Linked DNA regions of Macaca mulatta. The protein of the gene in region 1 interacts with the protein of each later gene in a pairwise test. Links are inferred from orthologs where the notes say so. Each region holds a gene or a part of one and is shown in the gene's direction. Other genes may lie near its edges. The genes, in order: CEP57L1, KATNAL1 and RAD51D.

Region 1 (7,822 bases):
TCTAGAAAGATTAACGTTTTTCTAAACTTCTGGAGAAATATATTTTGTGATACTTTATAAAAGAGGCACTAAACAACACAGTAGATATTGAAAAAATAATAGATCCTGAAAGCAGTTTTATGTAGTATATACACAATAAAAAAATAAGGGTTTTCCTTATACACCTGTTAAGTCTGTAAAGTCATTTATATAGGGAATTTATTGTTATATGTAATTTCTATGCTTATTTCTTGTGAATTTGCCTAAAAGTAAGGATTGGAGAGTTAGTACTTTATAGACCAATATTTTGTTTAGATGAATTGATGTTTTGAGTGTATTCTATTCAAGTAACCCTTCTTAATTATATATAATGGTATGAAAAAAGTTTTTAATCCCTTTTAATCTTATGATTCTGGAATTATGGTTTTGATGGCCATTATTACTATTTATTCAGATATGAATGGAGTGAGTGTTGCTCTGTGTCATTTGCTGTGGGAGACAGGAGATGCTATTTGGGAATTCTGGCCACTGCCATATGCTTAGCTTGTGGATAAAATAATGGAGAGAACATTATACTTAACTTTGGCTACTCTTTTATTACATAAGTAAAAATTAATGTTCAATACTTGGGCTGTATTTTTCATAATTTTTTCATTTTAAAGAATTTTCAAACTATAATAACGAACAATATTTTCCCAATATGACTTATTTTGCCTGTTTCCTTTCCTAAATATTTGTTTTGTGTCTTGTTTGTGCAATGAGATTCACAGCTACAAAACCAAATAGAAAAATCACTGTAAGTAATTTGCCAGTGGAACACATACTGCCCAGTATGTATGTTTTATGGCATCCTTTCTCTGATGAGTTAATGGAACTTTTTTTCAGTTTACCTATTTATTATAAAAATAGTGAAGGTGCAGGAAGAAGATAAAAGAAATGAAGGAAAGAAAAGGTAACTCCTGGAAGAGAAGAGAGTATTAACAGCAGAATCATTTCATGGAAGTACTTAGTTCAAATCCCAAGTTCACAGGGTATGCAAATAATGGTGTCTCTTTTTAAAGACGGAGGAAGTGCTAAAGTTGCTGAAAGTAGGATTAGATTTCAGGAAGCCTCTATGAGAGACCTGCTTCCTATCACACTGTTTCTCCATGTCCTGGACATAGTTCATTCAACTCTTACATTTTGATGTACATAGACTGGTATCTCTAGGTGATAAAAAAAATTGGACAGGAATTTGTGAGAAACAGATAAATATATAAATATGAAACAGTATAATAGAAGATTAATAGAGGTTTAAACAAAGTGTTGTGGTGTTATGTAGACAAAGGAATATGTGAAAGGTAATGCAAGAAGCAATATTAAAGGAAGCCTTGAAGAATTAAATATTGACAGACTGAGATAAGGAAAAATATATTACAGTCTGAGGGAATTGTTGGTTTTTCCAGGGACCTATAAGTAATAGTCCAGTATTGGGGGTGAGATGAGATCATAGTGGAAGTTAAAGTGGAAAATACAGCTTGGGGTGAGCTAATGGCTGACCTTGAATGCCATGTTAAGAGTTTGAACTTTTATTCTATAAACAGGAACTATTGAAGGCTTCTGAGAAAAGTAGGGACATGATTAGAGTTGTAATTTTAGATGGTAACTTACAGCAGTAGGAGAGTTTTACATAGAGAGAAATCACATGTGTAGATTTTATGAGAGAATCATATGCGTAGATTCATGTCACTATCACAACAATCAAGATACAGAACTCTTCCACCACTAAAAGACTCCTTCATGCAATCCCTCTATAGCTACACATCCCCTTCCCTGAACATTGGCAACCTCTAATCTGTTCACCATCTGTATATTTTATTATTTCAATATTATTATATAAATGGAATTATACAGTATGTAACTTTTTGAGATTGGCTTTTTTCCCTTGAGGTCCATCCAAGTTGTTGTATGTATCAATACATCCTTTTTATTTCTGCGTGATATTCCGCATTACAGATGTACCACAATTTAACTGTTCATCTGTTAAAGGATATCTGGAGTCCGGCATGGTGGCTCATGCCTGTAATCCCAACAGTTTGGGAGGCCAAGGCGAGTGCATCATTTGAGGTCAGGAGTTCAAGACCAGCCTGGCCAATATGGTGAAACCTCGTCTCTACTAAAAATACAAAAATTAGCCGGGCAGTAGTGGCACACACCTGTAATCCCAGCTACTTGGGAGATTAAGGCAGGATAATCGCTTGAGCCTGGGAGACAGAGGTTGCGGTAAGCCAAGATTGTACCATTGCACTCCAGTATGGGTGACAGAATGAGACCCTGTCTCAAAAAAAAAAAGGATATTTCGATTGTTTCCAATTTTTTAGCTATTACAGATAAAGCTGCTATGAACATTTGTATACATGTTTTTATGTGAACATAAGTTTTCATTTTTCTAGGATAAATGCCTAAGAGAGCAATTGTTGGGTCATGTAATAAGTACATTTTTAGTTTTATAAGAAACTGCCAAACTGTCTTCCAAAATGGCTGTACCATTTTGTATTCCCACCAACAATATGTGAGTGGTTTTATTTTCTCTGCATGCTTGCCAACATTTGGTATTGTCACTATTTTTTATTTTGGCCATTCTGATGGATGTGCAGTGATATTTCACTAATTTTAACTTTCATTTCCATAATTAATGATGTTGAATATCTTTTCATATGTTTGCCATACATATGTCTTTGTCAGTGAAATTTCTGTCCATGTCTTTTTGCCCATTTTCCAGTTGCATTGTTTTCTGTTGAGTTTTGAGAGTTCTTCATATCATAAATAACTTTTAAAATAATTTCTTATTTATGTTTTTTTCTTGTCAATCTCTAGAAAACTAAATGTATAAAGAGAGGACCACCTTGGCAAATTTGTTCAAAGTTTGGAGCACTGCCTTTTGTGGCTGAAAAGGTGAGAGGGGATAAAATGAAGATAGTTGTTCAAAAAAATTCCTGTTTCATTGTAAGTGCTATTAAAATATCTTCAGTCATTTAAAATTATTCTCAGTTGTTTCTTTTCCCATAAGTCCACCAGTGCAAACTGTTCTGTGAATGCAAGTATGCAAAACCTTTTGCAGAGGAGGCAACATCGTGGCCCACATATCCTTCAGAAACCTTTTAACGTGGCTGAGACTAGATGTCTCCCCAGGCCTTCTAGAACAACTTCCTGGTGTAAGGCTATTCCTCGTGACTCAGAAAAGTCCATTTCCATTTGTGACAATTTATCTGAACTTTTGATGGCAATGCAAGATGAGCTGGACCAAATGAGCATGTAAGTATTTATATATTTTTTTTTTAAGAGACAGTGTCTTGCTATGTTGCCCAGGCTAGTCTTGAACTCATGGTTTCAGGCAGTCCTCCTGCCTCAGCCTCCCAAAGTGCTGGGATTACAAGCGTGAGCCACCGTGCCTGGCCAGCAATTTTTATTCTTTATCAGGAGAAGTACCATATCACTTTTTCTTCTTAGTCTTAAGAACAATACCACTTATAAATTCTTAAAGGCCTTACTTAGCCATTTGGAAAGATTTGTTGTCACTATTTTTCATTGTATTTGTTACTATTTAAAATTTCAGTTCTTTATAACTACTACTTTTTCATTCTAAGGTATTTCTGTATTCCCAAGATCTGGACTGATAGCTACTACTGTCATTCTAACATATAGGATCTGATGACCTTAGATTAAAACTCACAAAAGCGTTTATAAGAAAAGCTCTCCTTTTGTGTTTTAGAATCTTTTAGCTGAATGAATTATTTAATTAGACAAGTAGGAATGTAATTCCTTGTTTTAGACTCTGGCTGGTCTGCATTACAGATTTTGAAGCATCTATAGTAAGGAAGATTTCCATATGGGATACATTATATTGTGCCCACTTGCTTAAATATATATTCAATAGAAATTCCAGAACTATGTGGTTTGGCTGACCAGCTAGTTGACCTAAGACATCTGTAGAAGATACAGCTGTTTCTGTTAACAGCATTTCAGTAGGCTAACTCCAAATCCAGAAATTTTTCAGGCAAATACTTCCACAGCTGGAATTCTTCCAAAGATCCTATATCAATAATGAGGAAGAAAGCCCTTTAATACCTCTGTTAAAGACATCACACATTTTACTACATTGAGCTATGAGCATCAGGAATTCACATATTTTTTAAAGTTGCTTAGCAGTCTTAAGATATTTGTAAAGGTATTTAATTTCAAATCACAGGAGCCTGGTTATAGTTACTGTAGATTTAATTAAACAACCCTAAAGAAAGATGCTGTTTTTAAAGGTTAATATTTAAGTCTGACTAAAATTTATGATTGAACAGAAAATTGCTTAATTATGGCAAAGACATATATGCAATAAACTATAGTAGTGCTTAATATTTGCTATTCTTTCATAGGGAGCACCAAGAACTACTGAAACAAATGAAGGAAACTGAAAGCCATTCAGTCTGTGACGACATAGAATGTGAACTAGAGTGTTTAGTCAAGAAAATGGAAATTAAAGGAGAACAAATCTCCAAACTGAAGAAGCATCAAGACAGTGTAAGAAGGCTTTACTAAGAGATTTTAATAAAAAGATAAAATGTGGATTCAGTGTTGTATCTCTGTACGACTTTCCAAATTTGAGGTCTGTATATGGGATTTAGTGAAAAGATGGATGGTAGTCACTTAGGCCTATGACAGAATAGAGCCATCTGTCCCACTGGAATAACATGGACCTCCTACGTAACTCTCCAAGTTAAAATTTTTTAAGTGAACAAATAGGTTCAGTTATGTATTCAGAAATTGCTTTGGGGAAATTGTGAGGTAAACTAAACTTGCCTTAGCAGCCCTCCAATTACCCTTTTAGCATTCTTTTTCCTCTTCCTTCTCTCCTCTAATGCTTTAATGATACCCCTTATGTCAGCAGGTCTCTTATTCACTACCAGACATAAACCTGGCTCCTAAGCAGTGCCCCAGTCCTTAAAGCATGATTTCCTCTTTCCCAAAACAGGCTGTGTTGTGTTCCATTCCCTGGGGACCTATACTCAGCTAGCTATAGTGAGTAGGACAGGGATGGTGAGGAAAACTCTATACTTCTGTTAAGATGTAATAACTAAGAATAGCTAACAGTTTTATTATTTTAACAGAAAAATCATGGAATATAATATTTAATTCCAAGACAATGACTCCGTAGGTTGAACTTGCAGCACTATTACACTGCTGGAGCAGAAGGCAGAGGGAGCCTTTCCCAGGAACCCTCAAGTCACCTCATGTAGCCATCTGCCTATGGACAAAATCATCATTCATATAAGTTAATGATATATGAATGTCACAAATAAGCCTCCCTGCCTTTTATAGGAAAGTAATAAAAGATGCAGAATATTATTACTTTTATTCTTATTGTGGGAAAGAAAGGAAGAAAGAAAGAAGTGACATTTTTAAAACAAATATTTTTATTTTACTGGCTTTTAAGGCTATAATAAGTAAAAATTTCTGTATGTTTTGGAGTGAAGATTATACAACTTGTACACTTTCTTGAAATTGCATAAGAGAAACTTGAAAGGAATAGAAGAATGATCATTTTTAAAACTCAGCTAGTATATATATACTATATTTTGAAAAACATGATATATATTCCATAATAGCTATACCAGTATAAATTTTAAGCACTTTATTATGATAAATGTAATATCTGTAATAAAAATTGATTATTAACTAAATAGAGAACTAGGTACTCACCCAAAGTCTGGGTCAGCTCTACAAATTCGACCTATGCTCAAGTGAAACAGATTAAGTAATGGGTTAGACTTTGAAGAAATGGGTTTTGGCTGGTTGATACGTATTGTTTTTGTTTAATTCTGTCTGCCTCCACTATTACCATATACTACTCAAGGTGATAAAGTTATTCCCTTGACTTTTTTTTAAACTGCCATTCAGGAGTACTTTAAATTCAGGAATATACAAAAGTATTTGTACACAAAGGTATTCCTGAATTTAAAGTACTCCTGAATGGCAGTTAAAAAAAACACACATATTTATACACACACACATATATATACACATACATACACACACGTGTGTGTATGTATAATTTTCAAAACTTGATACTCATTCCTAGAACCAATTATTAGATTTGCTGTTAATGTTACCAGAAAAGTTCTTCTCTCTGCTCTCTGTTCTCTGGTTTTTACCAGTTATCTTACATACAACCTTTCCCCCCAGTCTCTGCAGCCCACGTTGACCTTATCTTACTTTGGGCTTCTTACATATACACTTTTTGTCTTATTCAAAGTTATCCTGGTTCATTGTATTCTCTAGTTGTCACATATATGCTTTTTTTCACTAATAGGAGCAGTAAGCTCCTTGAAAGTAAGAACTGTTTTCTTCATTATAATTCTACCTGACAAGCACAGTGTTAGGCATGTAATAGATGTTCAATAAATTAAAAACTTACCGAATTGAACTTTTTAATGTTCAATTTTAATTTTTTAACTTTAAACCATCAATTCAACCTATTTTGGAATATATTTTTAGTATATTTTTGACTAAAATGTTAGATTTTTTTTCTCTCCAGGTCCGTAAACTGCAGCAAAAAGTTCAAAACTCAAAGATGAGTGAAGCTTCAGGTATTCAGCAAGAAGACAGCAACCCTAAAGGATCAAAGAACATAAAAAATAGCCCCAGAAAATGTTTGACTGACACTAAACTTTTTCAGAAAAACAGCAGCTTTCATCCAATACGAGTTCATAATCTTCAAATGAAATTGAGAAGAGATGATATCATGTGGGAACAGTAACAAAATAGCAAAACTGTCACCTTAATGAACTTTGTCAATGAGACCTTGAATTGTCTAAAGTGGTTTTAATTTAATATAACTTTGTGACATTTTGAATCATGTTTCTAGCTTCTATAAGACATGAAGTTGCAGTATTTTTAAATTAATGCCTAATGACCTACTGGGTTCCAAATAATAAATTAATTGCTTTTTTGTTTTTCTTATTGATTGAAGCCTATAACCTCATCTTGTCTTAGAAACATTGTTTGCTTTGCAGATATCTTAAGCTAAATTTGAGAAATTGTACTAGATTGACAATATTCAAAATTGAGTTAAATCTGAGCTACAAGTACCATTCATTCCACTTTTCATAGGTTTGCAACCTTAAAAACAAATGTTAAATGAACAGAGTTCAGAAAGATCATTTAGCTTTCCTGGTGTCTTCTTTCTATTTTGTTTTAAAGCTGTGAAATGTTTTTCTCTTTTGGAAAAGGAAAAGCTTAACAATTAGACAGTTTTATGAAGAAGCCTTTAATCCAAGTTTTATGAGACAATAGGAACCCATAGCTACTTAATTTTTAGGAGACAGTAATTCAGTTGCAGAAGTTTTCATCTGCTATTCCCATTCTCTTTTACAAAACTAGTTTTTTTAAAAAAAATAATGATCCATTTTATCTTACTACTTTATAACTTTTGCTGACTTCTATTCTTTGCATTATATGTAATGTCCATCAGTATAAATTGAGACTGAATTTCTAGGACCCACAAAAGTGGTATTTTTTTTTACAAGAAAGTATGGAGGAAGAGGAAGCTGGACATTAAATTACCTCATCCAGCAGAAATTCAGGGTAGTATGGTATATTTTAATTTTTTATATTTTAAAATCAATAATGTCAAAAAATGTCATTGTGTATGCATGCTTTGTAATAAATTTGCACTTGATCGTTTTTCTGAGTGCCTAGGGGAGCTAGTATGACTCTCCTGAACTCTTGGTTTCTCACTCAAATCCTCTGAAGCAGCTGGGGGACTAGAGTCGTGAACTGAAGTAGAAATAGAGGACAGACAGAAAAGGTGTAA
Region 2 (8,177 bases), on another chromosome or scaffold:
GTTAGAAAATTCTTTCTTTTGCTGATCTGAAATCTATATCTTTTGTTACTGGCCCTTGCTTTGTTTTTTTTTTGGGGGGGCACAATACTTAGTAGGCCTGTTGGTTGTATTGCCCCATTAGGATTTACTTCTTCAGCTTAAATGTCTCTAGTGCCCTTCGTCTTCCTCCATATGACATGGGTTTTGAAACCTTTATCATCTTGATTATCCTTCCCTGAGTGTAATTTATCAGCATTTCTCTTAAAATGCAAGACCCAGAGCTAGTAACTGATCATGTTTCACTTAATCTGCCAGTGTGAGAGGTTACATAGTAAAATGTAAAAAAATTTGCATTTTAGGGCAGACTATATCATTAATTGTTAGTCACTTTGAACCTAGTTTTCCTCAAATAGAAGATTATCCAACACTAATAAAAGATGAGTAACAAAGCTTTCTCGATATGGGAAATTTTGATATTAGTAAAAAGAAGTGAAAATATTTTGCTTTCATGAGAAAGTATATCAACCTTCATGCTAAAAATCAAATTCTTGCTAATGTTGACGTTAGTCAACTCATATGAAAATCTAAGGAAAGAATTGTAAGATCATTTCAGTGACATTGCACTTAGTATTATTTATGTACACTTAATAATATCATGGGGGAGGTTAGCTTTATTGCCTTTCATAGTTTCCTTTAGGTGTTGCGTTTAATCTAGCTGTTTATATTTGACGTCTATATTCTAATTTAAGTATTTGTTATGAAGAATAACTGTCACTCATTTTACTGATTTCCTGGTATGACCAAATTTATCTTAGTTTTCCTAAGTCTGTTTTTTATAACCTCACCATTTTGATTTGAAAACATTTCCAGAATCTTGTTTGTGGTACTCGATCTGTATTCAAGTCTCATGTGTACCACTGAGAAACCTTGGGTTCTCGGGCAGGTCATTTAACTGGCCTATACACACACTTCTCCTTCTGCGTAGTGAGAGGCTTTTACTTCTTAGATTCTCCTCCTCTACCCCATCCTCTATAGGAGCCAGAAGAAATCCAAACTCACCTCTGCCCATATCTTCAACCTCTTTCTTCTGTGTAATACCTTTTATCTATCCTGGCTGCTCAGGTTTTTTCACAGCACTTCACAGTTTATGTGTGTTTTTGCTTTATTGTTGTTTGTTTCCCCCTCTGGACTAGATGCTTGATGGGGGCAGATAATGTATTTTCATTCACTGCTCTAAAACCTGATACGCAATAACATGTGTTGCACGTAAAAGATGCGCAAAAAATCCTGTGATACTGCTATTACTTTCAGATAGGCATGCAGCTTTTTCTTTCTCCTGATGTAGTGTTTATTAAGTTCTTTCCGGCCACCTGGACATTCATATTAAAATGAAATTTTAACTATGTAAATATAAATTACAATGCCATATGAAGGCTCAAGCTCCAGATATGTCAGTTTCTGTTGTATCCTTTGTTGATACATTTCTAGAATAGTTTTAAAATGATTACAGAAAGTTCCTAGTGATTTGTTGTTTGCATATGACTTGGTAGCCTTGGCCTGTCCGTACTATAAAATGTGACTCTAGCCTAAGCTTAAGTATGTTGATGTATTTGTTGTGTAGGTGCCAAAAATTTACTCCTTTTAATAGTGTCAATATTGATATCTGTCATCTGGAATGCAAGAATCTTCCTGAAAATTTGCTAATAAATGTAATACTACTGCCATACTGCCCAGAAATAATTTGTGTTTTTTTTGGGTGAAGTACCAGAATACCGTTTGGTCACTTACCTAGTGGCTTAAAGGAACCAGAGCATCTATCCAAAGGAGCCATTTAGTTTCCTCCCAGCACTTATGATTGAGCCTTTTTTGACTGTTTCAGAAGTGAGATTAGAGAAGTTTGTCTTGTTCTTTTGTCTCTTTTGAGGTTGAAGTTTAGGAGATTGACTCATTTTGGCCATTTTCTTGTTTCATTTTTACTGTAGGCAGTAACTGGGGCTAAAGCTCTGGGGAGGCACTTGGCTATGCTTGCTGAAGTATTTCCATAGTTGGACTGTCTCTGGCAAATAAGTAAATTTCATTTAAAGCTTTTCAAAGCTGTGTAAATCTTGGCAGAACCCCATAGAAAGCATAGCATATAGTTCCTTTTAAAACAACTATATTATTAAATGAAGAATTTGGGGAAAGCATATTGCTTTAATGGTCTTAATACCATTTAAAAAGATCCTTCTACATTAATATTCAAAATGTTTTCTAGTAGTGGTGGAAATCTTCTGCATCTACTAGTTCAAAGGTAGGCTTTCCCAGTCTTTTGGGATCTAGCAAGGATGTTTAGTCTTACCTGCAACTGTCCCTGCAAGAATGTAGATTTGAAGTTTTTAATAAAGTTGACCAGTTCATGTATTTCTGATGAATTAAATAGAGGAGAATGGCATTTGAGTAATCAGAAAATACTACCTTAAAATAATAAAATTTTGAAAGTGATGGCATTATAATGTTTTCAAAGCGTAATGATGTTAACTAAATTATCCAGTTACTGACTAGTACTTTTTTTTATACCTATCCCCAGGGAAGGAAGAATATGCAAGACGGTGCAAGTGATGGTGAAATGCCAAAATTTGATGGTGCTGGTTATGATAAGGACCTGGTGGAAGCCCTTGAAAGAGACATTGTATCCAGGAATCCTAGCATTCATTGGTTAGAGTCTTTGAAATTATTGAATTAAAGTAGAGGAGAACACAAGTTATAGGTTGGCTTGGTGTGAGTTTTCTCTTGTTATTCATTAATCTGATTATGACCACCTCTGTAATGTGAAAGTATAGAATTGACGGGAGAGTTCTGTCGAATGTAACCAGGACATTTTACATGTTAATTTGAAGTTGATATATAACTGACAAAAGTTGTTAATTCAGTGACATGTCCTCATTAATAACTAATGTTTTCACTGATGTTTTTATGCAGTAAGAATTAGACTAATGTTCTTAATATGAGAACAATTTCATAAGTAAAAAAAATTAGAAGAATTAGGTTTGACCATAAATCAAAGATCCCTGAATAAACATTATGAAACTTTGCTCTTCTTTCAAAGGGATGACATAGCAGATCTGGAAGAAGCTAAGAAGTTGCTAAGGGAAGCTGTTGTTCTTCCAATGTGGATGCCTGACTTTTTCAAAGGGATTAGAAGGCCATGGAAGGTGAGAATTTTTTAAATTGGTTTTGGTATAAGAATGCTGCTTGCATCAGAATGAAAGGCAGCATTGCTGTATTTTTGATGTATTTAACCCATTTTGAAAAGGTTGGGAGAAGTTTATATACACCCAAAACACCTGGATTTGAATTTGTATTGTGATGTGTTACATCTGCATAGTAGGAGAGATGGGCTTGGAGTGTTGAAACTATATAGTCTTTAGGTCACTTCCCTCAGGGATGCTGAGCTAGAGATTAGTTTTAAGAATTTTCTAGGTATATGGTTCTGTAAATAAAAAGTTAAGCAGATTAAGCAGAAATAATGCATAGTCTTATAGAATAAAGGTATGATCAAACAGTTATTTTTCAAAAGTTGGAATATTTCTCATTGATGGTTATTTTGTTTTACTTGTCACTGACTTGAAGCTCATTGTTGACTGTTTTATAGACTACATTTGCTATATTTTGAGTTTTCACAAATGTTTTTTCTAAAGAGAGGTCTTTAGCTGTGTTTTAAAAAACAACTTCTTGACCGGGTACCATGGCTCACCCCTGTAATCCCAGCACTTTGGGAGGCTGAGGAGGGTGGATCACGAGGTCAGGAGATCGAGACCATCCTGCCCAACATGGTGAGATCTCATCTGTACTGAAAATACAAAAATTATCTGGGCATGGTGGTGCGTGCCTGTAATCCCAGCTACTCGGGGAGGCTGAGGCAGGAGAATTGTTTGAAGCCGTGAATCGGAGGTTGCAGTGAGCCAAGATCGTGCAACTGCACTGCAGCCTGGCAACAGAGCCAGGCTCCGTCTCAAAAAAACAAACAAACAAACAAACAAAAAAAACCACTTCTTATATCATTACAGAATATCTGACTTTATGAATTTATTTTGTCCTTGCTGTGCTTTTGTAGTATTTATTGGCAAACTGGCTTAAGAAAATAAGATATATTTCTAAAGAATCTTTTTCCTGACCAAATAATTTTTTTTCTGCAACAGTAGAATAAAATTCTTGACTAGAACTATTATTATTTTTTTAAAAATCGTGTTTGAATTTTTTAGGGATTTGTGAGAATGGATTATTTACTAAAATGGGACAATAAATTTATTTAGTTTTTGAGACTGAGTCTTACTCTGTTGCCCAGGCTGGTGTGCAGTGGCATGATCTTGGCTCACTGCAACCTCTGCCTCCTAAGTTCAAGTGATTCTTGTGCCTCAGCCTCCGGAGTGGCTGCAATTACAGGTGCGTGCCACCACGCCCAGCTAAATTTTGTATTTTTGGTAGAGGCTGGATTTTGCCATGTTGGCCAGGCTGGTCTTGAACTCCTGGCCTCAAGTGATCCGCCCACCTTGACCTCCCAAAGTCCTGAGATTACAAGCATGAGCCACTGTTTCAAGCCTGATAAATGTATTTTAAAGAATACATGAAAATAAGGAGACCTTAGAAATTTTTCAGGTTTATAAAATTTGTCTCAAAACGTAAATTCCAGAATTTCAGAATTGGAATGAGTCTTTGAGATCATCTTAAATCCCCATTATTTGACAGACTAGAAAATTGAAGTCCAAATAGGTTGTGACAACCATAATAGACCTTTAGAAAATTTAAAATTCAATGTGTCTCAGCTTCCTATGTTTATATGTGCCTTTCCCTCCATAGCACACGTCTGCATTGTGTGATACCATTCCTTTATTCTTCAGGCATTTACTTAGCCCTGTTATATGTAAGGTTCCTTGTTTCTCAAGACAGAGTCCCTGAGCTGTGAGACATCCTAAACAGAGAGTTGGGCAGTTACAGATCGCTTTCAGCATTAGGCACTAGCAGAGCCTAATGGGTGGTACAGTCCACATGTGCTTGGAAAGCTCAGCAAAGCACAAACATGACATGATTAGAGAAGGCTTTATGCTTGAGGACGTGGGATTCAAGCTGCAATTTGTAGGGTTGTGAGGATTTCACTGTGTTGGAGGAGACATTTTGGAGATGTAGGAACTTGAGGGGGATGAATGATGTGAGCAGTGGAATATAGTGAGAAAGTGTAAGTGTGTTTGGGAATAGATGCGTTGACGTTTTGTAAGGAAGGCAGCATAGAATATTGGTAAGGGGCACAGATCCTGGATCCAGACTGGGTGCATACGAATTCTAACCATTTCCACTTATTCTGTGATCTTGAGCAAGTTATGGAACTTCTCCATGCCTCACTTTCCTTATCTATAAAATGGGAATACTAATAGTTATCTCATAGGATATAGTGAGGTTAAAATGAGTTAATGAGGCCGTAGAATTATGTAAATGTTGAAAACATAAATTAGTGGAAGATTCCAATGGGAAGGTAGGTTGAGGCCAGACTATTTCCCAGGAGTTCTATTCTTTTTCTGTAGATGTTTGGGAGACGTCTTTGAGCAGGTAGGTAGCATAATTAAACTGGTGAGTTGGAAAAAACAGTCTGGTTGCAATGAACACAGAAAGATGGGAGGCAAAGAGCATGTTCAGAAGTGATTGGCAGTAGTTTAGGCTTAAAATTCAAAGAGCCTGAATTAGGATGGTGATTATGAATTAGGAATGGAAGGACAGATGCTAGTGATATTTACTGAAGGAAGTTGGTAACCTTTTGGATGTAATATATATGTCAAGAAGAAGGCAGGGGTAAAGATAATTGGGTTTTGTCTGTGGCAGAATAGTGATGATAACATAAATGTGGAGCTCAGGAAGGAGAAAGACGCTGGTTTATTGTTCTTGATGTTGAAAGTTCAGTAGGAGCAGGGGGTGCTTCTGGGGGAAAAGATATGGAATTATTTTTGAGTTTTAAATTTTGGTATATTAACGTGGAAATGCACCAAGTTAGAAATACAGGGCCGGCCGGGCACGGTGGCTCACGCCTGTAATTCCAGCACTTTGGGAGGCTGAGGCAGGCGGATCACGAGGTCAGGAGATCGAGACCATCCTGGCTAACACGGTGAAACCCCGTCTCTACTAAAAATAAAAAATTAGCCGGATGTGGTGGCGGGCGCCTGTAGTCCCAGCTACTCAGGAGGCCGAGGCAGGAGAATGGTGTGAACCCAGGAGGTGGAGCTTGCAGTGAGCTGAGATTGCGCCACTGCACTCCAGCCTGGGGGACAGAGCGAGACTCTGTCTCAAAAAAAAAAAAAAAAAAAAAAGAAATACAGGGCTGAAGCTTGTGAGAGAAGTTAAAGACGGAGATATTAAGTGCCTTTTCAAAAATATGTATCTCTGGGATGAACTTTTCTGTAACAGAATAATAGCGAGGTCCTTCTTTATAAGTTTTAAGATCAGATTATATGATTTTTATAAAGGCAACATTTAAAATTTTACTTAGAAAATAAGGAGATGCCCAAGAAATAGACTACTGTATTTTCAGTGGCTGAAGTATAAACATATGCTTGAATCACTCTTACATTGAGACTCTAGCCATCTATCCATTTATCATCCAGCCTATCTTAGCACTTCTTAGACTGCGTCATAATTTATCTATCTATATTTTCTAATAGATTAAAAGTCTCTTGAGGATTTATGTGTGATTCCTGATAGATTCAATTTTTTTTCCTCAGGGCCTAGTACTTAGTAAGCATTGGATACATTTACACTGGGTAAATACATATTTATTGAGTATTTACCTTGTGTCACGTGATAGGCTAAGTGCGGAGGATACCAAAATGAGTGAATAATAATAGCCCCCAAGAAGCTCATGGTCTTTGGGTGAATAAGCATGTGTTTAATGGAGGCCATGTGTTAAGTGCAGTATTTGTTGAGGACAGTGTGACTAGTGTCTGAAAGAGTAATGAACTCACTGCTATGGCAGGAGAGAGGAGGAGGGACTTAGTCTGCTGTGGAGAATAATATCAGGGATGGCCTCCCAGAGCAGGTGACTCTGAGCTGAGACTTGAAAGATGAATAGAAGTTAAACAGGTAGATGTGATGAAGAAAGGCTCTAAGGCAGAGTGGATATCATGTACAAACACATGAAAAGTGTAAGAGAACATAGTATATGTGAGGAATCTTCTGTAGTTCAGTGTGGCTGGAAGGATAGAGTGTTTATATGGGACATAGTAACAAAAGACACTGCTGGAGTGGTTGGTGTGACCTACTTCTCACGAAGAGCCCTGCATGCCATGCCAAAGATGTCAGTGAGCCACTGAAGAGTTTTTAGTAGAAGGGTATTTGCAAGTGTAGGAAGATATCGTTTCTGTAGCAGTATGGAGGATAGGTTGGGGATGGACATAGATGGACATGAAAAAGTAATCTCATCAGGAGGCTGGTGAAATAATCTAGCCAAACAATGAGGACAGATACCTGTAGAAAGGCATGGGCTTTTTGGTTAGTGAAGAATCAATGGATTTGTGAGAGATGTTTAGAAGGTATAAGTGACTGACTGTTTACAGGGATGTGGGAGAGACAAGTTGTATGACTCCCAGATTCCAGGCTTGAATTGAATGACTTCTGACATGACCTACCTAGAGTTGGGCCAGACTTCACAGGTTGAGAGCCCAGTTTTCCGCAAGACTGCCCTCACTTCAGACACTAGCTGCAAGCCTGGGGGTCCCTGGGTCACTCTTACAACCAGCTGGCTACAAATTCAGGGGTTCCCACTACCCTCTCAGGTTTGATAATTCTCTAGAACAACTCACAGAACTTAGGGAGGCCTTACAGTCGAGCCCAGGACAACATAGGCATGAATATCGCGGATCCCCTTACACATGGCTTTTCTTCTGCCTCTGCCGCCCCAGAGACAACAAGGCCAACCCCTCCTTTTCCTCCTCCTCCTTAGCCTATCCAAGCTGAAGACCTTTAAGGTGACACACTTACATTTAATGAATAATAAATATATTTTTATAATAATTTTCTTAATAATGTTTTCTTTTTTCTATGTTTATTGTAAGAATACAATATACAATACATATACAAAATACGTGTTTACAGTTTTTGTTATCAGCAAGACTTCAAGTCAACAATAGGCTATTCATTGTTATGTTTTTTTGGGAATCAAAAATTATATGCAGATTTTT
Region 3 (8,177 bases), on another chromosome or scaffold:
CTGGGTGTGGTGGTGGGTGGCTGTAATCCCAGCTACTCGGGAGGCTGAGACAGGAGAATCACTTGAATCTGGGAGGCGAAAGTTGCAGTGAGCGGATATTGTGCCACTGCACTTCAGCCTAGGTGACAGAGTTAAACTGTCTCAAAAAAAACCAAAACAAACAAACAAAAACACAATACCATTTATAGTTGCTTCGCAGAAAATGAAATACTTGGGTATAAGTCTAACAAAGCATGTGTAGAATCTGCCTGCTGAAAAATTTTAAATTGCTGATGAAGGAGATCAAAGATGACTCAGATAAATGGATGACATGTACTTTGTTCATGGATTGGGAAACTGAACATAATGAAGATTTCAATTGTCCCCAAGTTGATCTGTAATTTAATGCCATTTCTATTAAAATCCCAGCAAGGGTTTTTTTTTTTTTTTAATAGACATAGGCAAGCTTATTCTAATAATTACGGAAAGACCAATTTTACCTAGATTAGCTAAAACAATTTGGAAAAAGGACAGTTGGAGGAATCAGTCTACCCAGGGTTAAGACTTGCTATATAGCTACACAGTTAAGCCTAGTGTGGTATTGGCCAAGGGACAGATGGACACAGATCAATGGAACAGAGTAGAGAACCCAGAAATAGACCTCCACAAGTATATACAACTAATTTTTTTTTTTTTTTGAGACAGGGTCTTGCTCTGTCACCCAGGATGGAGGGTGCTGGTGCTATTACAGCTCACTGCAGCCTTGACCTCCCTGGGCTCAGGCAATCCTTCCACCCCAAGCCTCCCAAGTAGCTGGGACTACAGGTATGGGACACCATGCCTGGTTATTTGTATTTGTATTTTTTTTTTTTTTTTTTAGACGGAGTTTCTCTCTCTCTTTTTTTGTTTTGAGATGGAGTTTCACTCTTGTTGCCTGACCTGGAGTGCAATGGCGTGATCTCGGCTCACCGCAACCTCCGCCCCCCCGGGTTCAAGCAATTCTCCTACAGGCACACACCACCAGGCCTAGCTAATTTTTTTTGTATTTTTAGTAGAGACGGGGTTTCTCCATATTGGTCAGGCTGGTCTTGAACTCCTGACCTCAGGTGATCCGCCCGCCTTGGCCTCCCAAAGTGCTGGGATTACAGGCATGAGTCAACGTGCCCGGCTGGAGTTTCTCTCTTTTTGCCCAGGCTGGAGTGCAATGGCATGATCTCAGCTCACTGCAACCCCCGCCTCCCGGGTTTGATTCATCTGCCTCTACCTCTCGAGTAGCTAGGATTACAGGTGCATGCCACCACGCCCAGCTAATTCTGTATTTTAGTAGAGATGGGGTTTCACCATGTTGGCCAGGCTGGTCTCGAACTCCTGACTTCAGGTAACCCGACCGCCTTGGCCTCCCAAAGTGCTGGGATTACAGGCATGAGCCACCGCGCCCAGCCTATTTGTATTTTTTTGTAGAGACAGGGTTTCACTATGTTGCCCAGGCTGGCCTCGAACTCCTGGGCTCAAGCAATCCTCTCGCCTCAGCCTCCCAAAATGCTGGGATTACACACAATTGATTTTTGACAAAGGTACAAAAACAACGTGATGGAGGAAAGACAGCCTTTGAACAAAGGGTGCTGGGGCTATTGGACATCGTAGGTTAAAAATATGTAATAATAAACCTAAACCTTATACCTTATATAAAAATTGACTGAAAATGGATCGTGGACTTTAATGTAAAACCAAATTGTGTAATTTTTTAGAACAAAACAGGAGAAAGTCTAGGCAAAGTGTTCTTAGATTTGACACCAAAAGTATGATCCATGAAAAAATTTTTGATTAATTGGGCCTAATCAAAATTAAAAACTTTTGCTGCACAAAACAGAATGAAAAGAGAAGTACAGAATGAGAATAATAGTTGCAAGCCATGTATTCAACAAAGGACTTGTATCTAGAATGGAGAAAGAATTCCTAAAACCCAACAGTAAAAAATCAAACAATTCAATTAGAAAATGGGCAAGGGCTGCCTCACACCTGTAGTCCCAGCACTTTGAGAGGCTGAGGTGGTTGGATTGCTTGAGCCCAGGAGTTCAAAACTGGCCTGGGCAACGTGGCAAAAACCCTGTCTCTACCAAAAAAATACAAAAGTTGGCTGGGTGTGGTGGCACATGCCTGTAGTCCCAGCTACTTGGGGGAGCTGATGTGGGAGGATCACCTCAGCCTGGGAGGTCAAGGTTGCAGTGAGCTGTGATCATGCCACTGAATTCTAGCCTGGGTGACACAGTGAGACGTGAGACCCTATCTCAAAAAAAAAAAAAAAAAAATGCCAGGTGCAGTGGCTTATGCCTGTAATCCCAGCACTTTGGGGGGCCAAGGTGGGTTGATCACCTGAGGTTGGGAGTTCGAGACCAGCCTGACCAATATGGAGAAACCTCGTCTCTATTAAAAATACAAAATTAGCTGGATATGGTGGCGTATGCCTGTAATCCCAGCTACTCGGGAGGCTGAGGCAGGAGAATTGCTTGAACCCGGGAGGTGGAGGTTGCGGTGAGCCGAGATCATGCCATTGCACTCCATCCTAGGCAACGCTCCGTCTCAAAAAAAAAAAAAAAAATCAACACTATTAACTATTAGGGAAATACAAATTAAAAACACAATGAGCTATTATTACATACCTATCAGAAAGACTAAAATAAAAAAATAGTGATAATACCAAATGATGAGGATGTGGAAACACTGGACTACTCATATATACATTGCTACTGGAAATGTAAAATGGCATAGTCACTCTGGAAAATAGTTTGGTAGTTTCTTATAAAATTAATAATGCCTTTACCATACCACCCAGCAATTGTATTCTTGGGCATTTATCCCAACGATGTGAAAACTTGGGTTTATACAAAAACCTGTAAAAAATGCTTTATAGCAGTTTTATTCACAATAGCCCCAAAGTGGAAACAACCAAATGGCCTTCAGTGGATGAATGGTTAAATAAAGTGTGGTACATCCATACCATGGAATACTTTTTAGCAATAAAAAGGAATGAACTATCCATATATGCAACAACTGGGATGGATCTCAAGGGAATGATGCTGAGTGACAAAAGCCAATTGCAGGGCCGGGCACAGTGGCTCATGTCTGTAATCCCAGCACTTTGGGAGGTTGTATTGGGCAGATCACTTGAGGTCAGGGGTTCAAGACCAGTCTGCCTAACATGGCGAAACCCCGTCTCTACTAAAAAATACAAAAATTAGCCAGGTGTTTTGGTGGGCACCTGTAATCCCAGGTACTCGGGAGGCTGAGAGAGGAGAATTGCTTGAACCTGGGAGGTGGAGGTTGCAGTGAGCTGAGATTGCACCACTGCACTCCAGCCTGGGCAACAGAGTAAAACTCCGAAACTCCGTCTCAAAAAAAAAAAAAAAAAAAAAGAAAAAGGAAAAAAAAAGCCAATCACAAAGGTTACATAGTGTATAATTCTATGTACATAACTTTGTTCTTGAAATAACATAATAGAGATTAGTGGTTGTCAGGGGTTGGGGATTGGGGTGACTGGGAGGAATGTAGCTATAAAAGAGTAGCAGGAGGATGACTTATAGTGATGGAAATGTTCTGTATCTTGATTATAGCGGTTGTGTAAATCTACATATGTGATAAAATGGCACAGAACTAGACACATCGTACGTGCTTGAATGCTAGGAACATTGGTGAAATCTGAATAAGCTCTGTGGATAGTACCAACATCAGTTTGCTACTTGTGATATACTATAGTACTTTCTTTCTTTTTTTAAGGAGAAAAGGGTCTTGCTATGTTGCCTGGTCTAGACTTGAACTCCTGGACTCAAGTGATCCTCTCACCTTAGCTTCCCAAGTAACTGGGACTATAGGCCCCTGACTAGTACAATACATTTTGTAGTACAATTGTTATTATTAAGGGAAACCAGGTGAAAGGTTCATGGACTTTTTGCAACTTCCTGGGAATCTATAATTATCTCAAAGTTGTTTTTTTTTTGTTGTTTGGTTTTGTTTTGTTTTTTGAGACGGAGTCTTGCTCTGTCAACAGGCTGGAGTGCAGTGGCGCGATCTTGGCTCACTGCAACCTCCGCCTCCTGGGTTCAAGCGATTCTCCTGCCTCTGCGTCTCAAGTAGCTAGGACTACAGGTGCATGCCACCATCAAAGTTTTTTTAAAAACAAAACAAAACAAAAACACAAATTTTGGGAAATGCTATCAAGGAAACCCACAAACGGCTGGGCCTGGTGGCTCACGCCTGTAATTGTAGCACTGTGGGAGGCCGAGGCAGGTGGATCACTTGAGGTCAGGAGTTTGAGACCAGCCTGGCCAACATGGTGAAACCCCATCTCTAATTAAAAAAATTAGTCAGGAGGCCGGGCGCGGTGGCTCACGCCTGTAATCCCAGCACTTTGGGAGGCCGAGGCGGGCGGATCACAAGGTCAGGAGATCGAGACCATCCTGGCTAACACTGTGAAACCCCGTCTCTATTAAAAATGCAAAAAATTAGCCGGGCGAGGCGGCGGGCGCCTGTAGTCCCAGCTACTCGGGAGGCTGAGGCAGGAGAATGGCGTGAACCCGGGAGGCGGAGCTTGCAGTGAGCCGAGATCGCGCCACTGCACTCCAGCCTGGGCGACTAAGCCAGACTCTGTCTCAAAAAAAAAAAAAAAAAAAAAAAAATTAGTCAGGGATAGTGGCGGGCGTCTGTAATCCCAGCTACTTGGGAGGCTGAGGCAGGAGAATCACTTGAGCCTGGGAGGTGGAGGTTGCAGTGAGTAGAGATCATGCCACTGCTCTCCAGCACTCCAGCCTGGACAACAGAGAGAGACTCCATTTCAAAAAAAATAATAATAAATAAAAGGAAACCCACAGGGCCTGAGATGAAAAAAAATGAAAGGAGGACCTTCTGATGGGGTGAAGAGGCCTCTCTGGAAAGCTGATCTTTAAGAATGGAGGGATGAAGAGAGACCAGAGAAGGAACATTGGGGCATTCCCTCTTTCCCAGAAGAAAACATCAGGAGAAGCCTCCTGGCCAGTGATGTTCAAAGACAGAACCAGTGCTTGAAAGGAATGTCTTGGCCGGGCGCGGTGGCTCAAGCCTGTAATCCCAGCACTTTGGGAGGCCGAGGCGGGTGGATCACGAGGTCAGGAGATCAAGACCATCCTGGCTAACATGGTGAAACCCCGTCTCTACTAAAAATACAAAAAACTAGCCGGGCGTGGTGGCGGGCGCCTGTAGTCCCAGCTACTCGGAGGCTGAGGCAGGAGAATGGCGTGAACCTGGGAGGCGGAGCTTGCAGTGAGCCGAGATCGCGCCACTGCACTCCAGCCTGGGTGACGCAGCGCGAGACTCCGTCTCAAAAAAAAAAAAAAAAAAAAAGAAAAAAAAAAGAAAGGAATGTCTTACTTTTCTTCTTGGTACCTTTTCCCCTCTCTTCCTACTAACCTCTTGTGTTGATTTTCTTCTTTTTTGCCATCAGCCTGGACAAACTGCTTGATGCTGGTCTTTATACTGGAGAAGTGACTGAAATTGTAGGAGGCCCAGGTAGCGGCAAAACTCAGGTACACGTGAGGCCCGCAGTCAGGAGGATTTGAGGGTGAGGGTGGTAGGTGCATAGCCCAGGATCCCTGGGGGAGCTTCAGCATACTGATGAGTTCAGAGCCCAACAGAGAGAAGATGGGTGATGAGGAATGGGGCTTGGACTCAGCGCATTTGTGTTGCTGGAATCTGGGCAAGGTTTGGTGGGGAGCTCCCATTCTGGACCCTCTCTGAAGTGTCAAGTTCATCCAATGCCCCCACCCCCAGGTATGTCTATGTGTGGCAGCAAATGTGGCCCATGGCCTGCAGCAAAACATCCTGTATGTAGATTCTAATGGAGGGCTGACAGCTTCCCGCCTCCTCCAGCTGCTTCAGACTAAAACCCAGGATGAGGAGGAACAGGTAAGGGGCAGGATGCTGGGTTCCATTGAGATTCTGACACAAGAAAACCCCATTACCCCTTAACATTGTAAGAATTTGGGTTGAATAGTCATTCCTTGCCTTCAAACTTGCTGTTCTGTTAATACATCCCGTATTCCTTAAGCCACCCCTGTTGATACCATCATCCTATTTGGGATGCTACTCGCACCGATTCTTCCAGAAAACCCTCCCAGCTCTGTGCATGCCCTAAACCAGGGCTGGTAAACACCGAGCTTTGTGTTTCCAGTCCATTTCTCGCCCATGAGAAGCATCACTAATCAGTCATATCCCTCTTTCCTCCTGAGTTTGAGTACTTTACAGCTCAGCACCCAGGCAGCCACCACCATGACAACTGGCCCATTAGACAAAGCTCATTTGCCACCCTGGACCTGAATCCTTGAATCCAGGTGCCTCTTCCTTCTCAGCCTTACCTCGACCCCCTACTCCCTCTTATCCAAAGCCCTTGCTTCTCTTTTCCACCCCTTCAGGCAGAAGCTCTCCAGAGGATCCAGGTGGTGCATGCGTTTGACATCTTCCAGATGCTGGATGTGCTGCAGGAGCTCCGAGGCACTGTGGCCCAGCAGGTGAGCCTGCTGTTCTGCCCCTCCTTGCTTAACTCAGCTTGCCAGGTGCTATCTCTGTGGGCCGGTGTCCTACTACAGACTGTTTAGAAATGCAGATGTGCAATTTGGTGACTCCAACTATGCTTGCTACTCCCAGGATGGAATTCCCAAGCGCCTAAATCACATACCTCATTGTTTACATGTTCATCTTCCCTGCTGAACAGTAAAGCCCCCTGAATGGAAGTATCATGTCATATTTATCTCTGCATTCCCCACTAGGTGAGTGAGGAATACTTTTAGCTGCCAAGTAATAGAGGTTGTCTGACAGAGACTTGAACCTTGAGGACATTTAATTATGTCACATGAGTTGGAGGTTAGCAGGTCCATGCTATCGGGGCAACAGTTGGTGTGTCTGATTTTCTTGTTCTTCCCCTCACGGTTGCAAAGAGGCTGCCGAAGCTCCAAGTATCTTGTCTTCACACATCCACATCCATATTCAAAGCAGTAAAAGATAGATGGTTCTTTTCTGTACCTCCTCCCTTTTATCAGGGATGAAGAATCTTTCTCCAGAGCCCACTAATATGTCCCTCTTCCCCTTACATCTAGTTGGCCAAAATGGAGTTATGTGTGTATCTTGGACTAAGGCCTGGGCCCACTATCCCTGAAGTCAGATTTCTGCCCAGTGCCCAAACACATTCAGAGTCGTGTTAATGGGGAGGATTTAGAATGGCATTTGGGTTGGTACTTTGCTATTCATGTTGGATGCTTAGACAAGATTTGGTGCACTGATTTATAAATGACTAGATGTGGAGGATACCTTAAAGATAGAATAGTTCATCTCAAACTTTTCCTCTCACCCCAAAGCACGACATGTTCGCACAGGCATCCCCGCAACTATATATAAAGTCAACGATTTTTACAAACTTTAGAACATATAATAGTTGAACAAGCTGGAAGTGGTGGCCCACACCTGTAATCCTAATGACTCCAGAGGCTGAGACGGGAGGATTGCTTGAGCCCAGGAGTTGGAGGTTGCAGTGAGCTATGATCATGCCACTGTACCTTACCCTGGGCAGCACAGCTAGACCCCGTCTTTTAAAAAAAAAAAAAAAAAAAGTTGAACAAATACTTTTCTCAGAAGTCATAGCTGGTTATGACCCACCAGTTTGTTGAGACATGATGCTGAGTAGTGCTGATCTCACTTTTAGAGATGAGAAGAGTGAAGGCCAGAGAAGTGAAGTGAGTTGACCAAAATTGACCACATATTTAGGACAAGAACTAACCGTATAGCCCAAATCTCTCAATTCCAGATCAGAAGACTGTATTTTTTTACTGTAGGACCATTAGATGGTATATCTTCTATTACTGCATAATAAGTTACCAAAACCTTGGTGGCTTAAGACTTGGATTTTTTATCTCACAGTTTCTAGGGGTTAAGAATCTGAGGCTGGGAGCGGTGGCTCACGCCTATAATCCCAATGTTTTGGAAGGCCAAGGCAGGAGGATCGCTTGAGCCCAGGAGTTCAAGACCAGCCTGGGCAACATAACAAGACCCTGAAAAAAGAAAAGGAAGGAAGGAAGGAAGGGAGGGAGGGAAAGAAAGAAAAGAAAAGAGAGGAAAGAAAGAAATAAAGAAAGGAAAGAAAGAGAGAGAGAGAAAGAAAGACAGGAAGAAAAGAAAAG

What was found.
Region 2: the proteins of CEP57L1 (region 1) and KATNAL1 interact in binary tests that used the Homo sapiens proteins (3 or more experiments, as listed by UniProt). The two-hybrid records come from large-scale screens. The link is inferred for Macaca mulatta from reciprocal best matches to the Homo sapiens genes CEP57L1 and KATNAL1.
Region 3: the proteins of CEP57L1 (region 1) and RAD51D interact in binary tests that used the Homo sapiens proteins (3 or more experiments, as listed by UniProt). The two-hybrid records come from large-scale screens. The link is inferred for Macaca mulatta from reciprocal best matches to the Homo sapiens genes CEP57L1 and RAD51D.

Annotation. Positions count from the first base shown.
Region 1 is NC_133409.1:14,266,532-14,274,353, forward strand, and holds part of CEP57L1 (centrosomal protein CEP57L1), read left to right. Parts: intron 1-2,835; coding exon 2,836-2,913; intron 2,914-3,028; coding exon 3,029-3,273; intron 3,274-4,385; coding exon 4,386-4,530; intron 4,531-6,544; coding exon 6,545-6,766; 3' UTR 6,767-7,822. UniProt on the Homo sapiens protein: Centrosomal protein which may be required for microtubule attachment to centrosomes.
Region 2 is NC_133422.1:10,104,327-10,112,503, reverse strand, and holds part of KATNAL1 (katanin p60 ATPase-containing subunit A-like 1), read left to right. Parts: intron 1-2,545; coding exon 2,546-2,673; intron 2,674-3,064; coding exon 3,065-3,170; intron 3,171-8,177. UniProt on the Homo sapiens protein: Regulates microtubule dynamics in Sertoli cells, a process that is essential for spermiogenesis and male fertility. Severs microtubules in an ATP-dependent manner, promoting rapid reorganization of cellular microtubule arrays.
Region 3 is NC_133421.1:44,626,410-44,634,586, reverse strand, and holds part of RAD51D (DNA repair protein RAD51 homolog 4), read left to right. Parts: intron 1-5,452; coding exon 5,453-5,534; intron 5,535-5,778; coding exon 5,779-5,913; intron 5,914-6,419; coding exon 6,420-6,515; intron 6,516-8,177. UniProt on the Homo sapiens protein: Involved in the homologous recombination repair (HRR) pathway of double-stranded DNA breaks arising during DNA replication or induced by DNA-damaging agents. Bind to single-stranded DNA (ssDNA) and has DNA-dependent ATPase activity.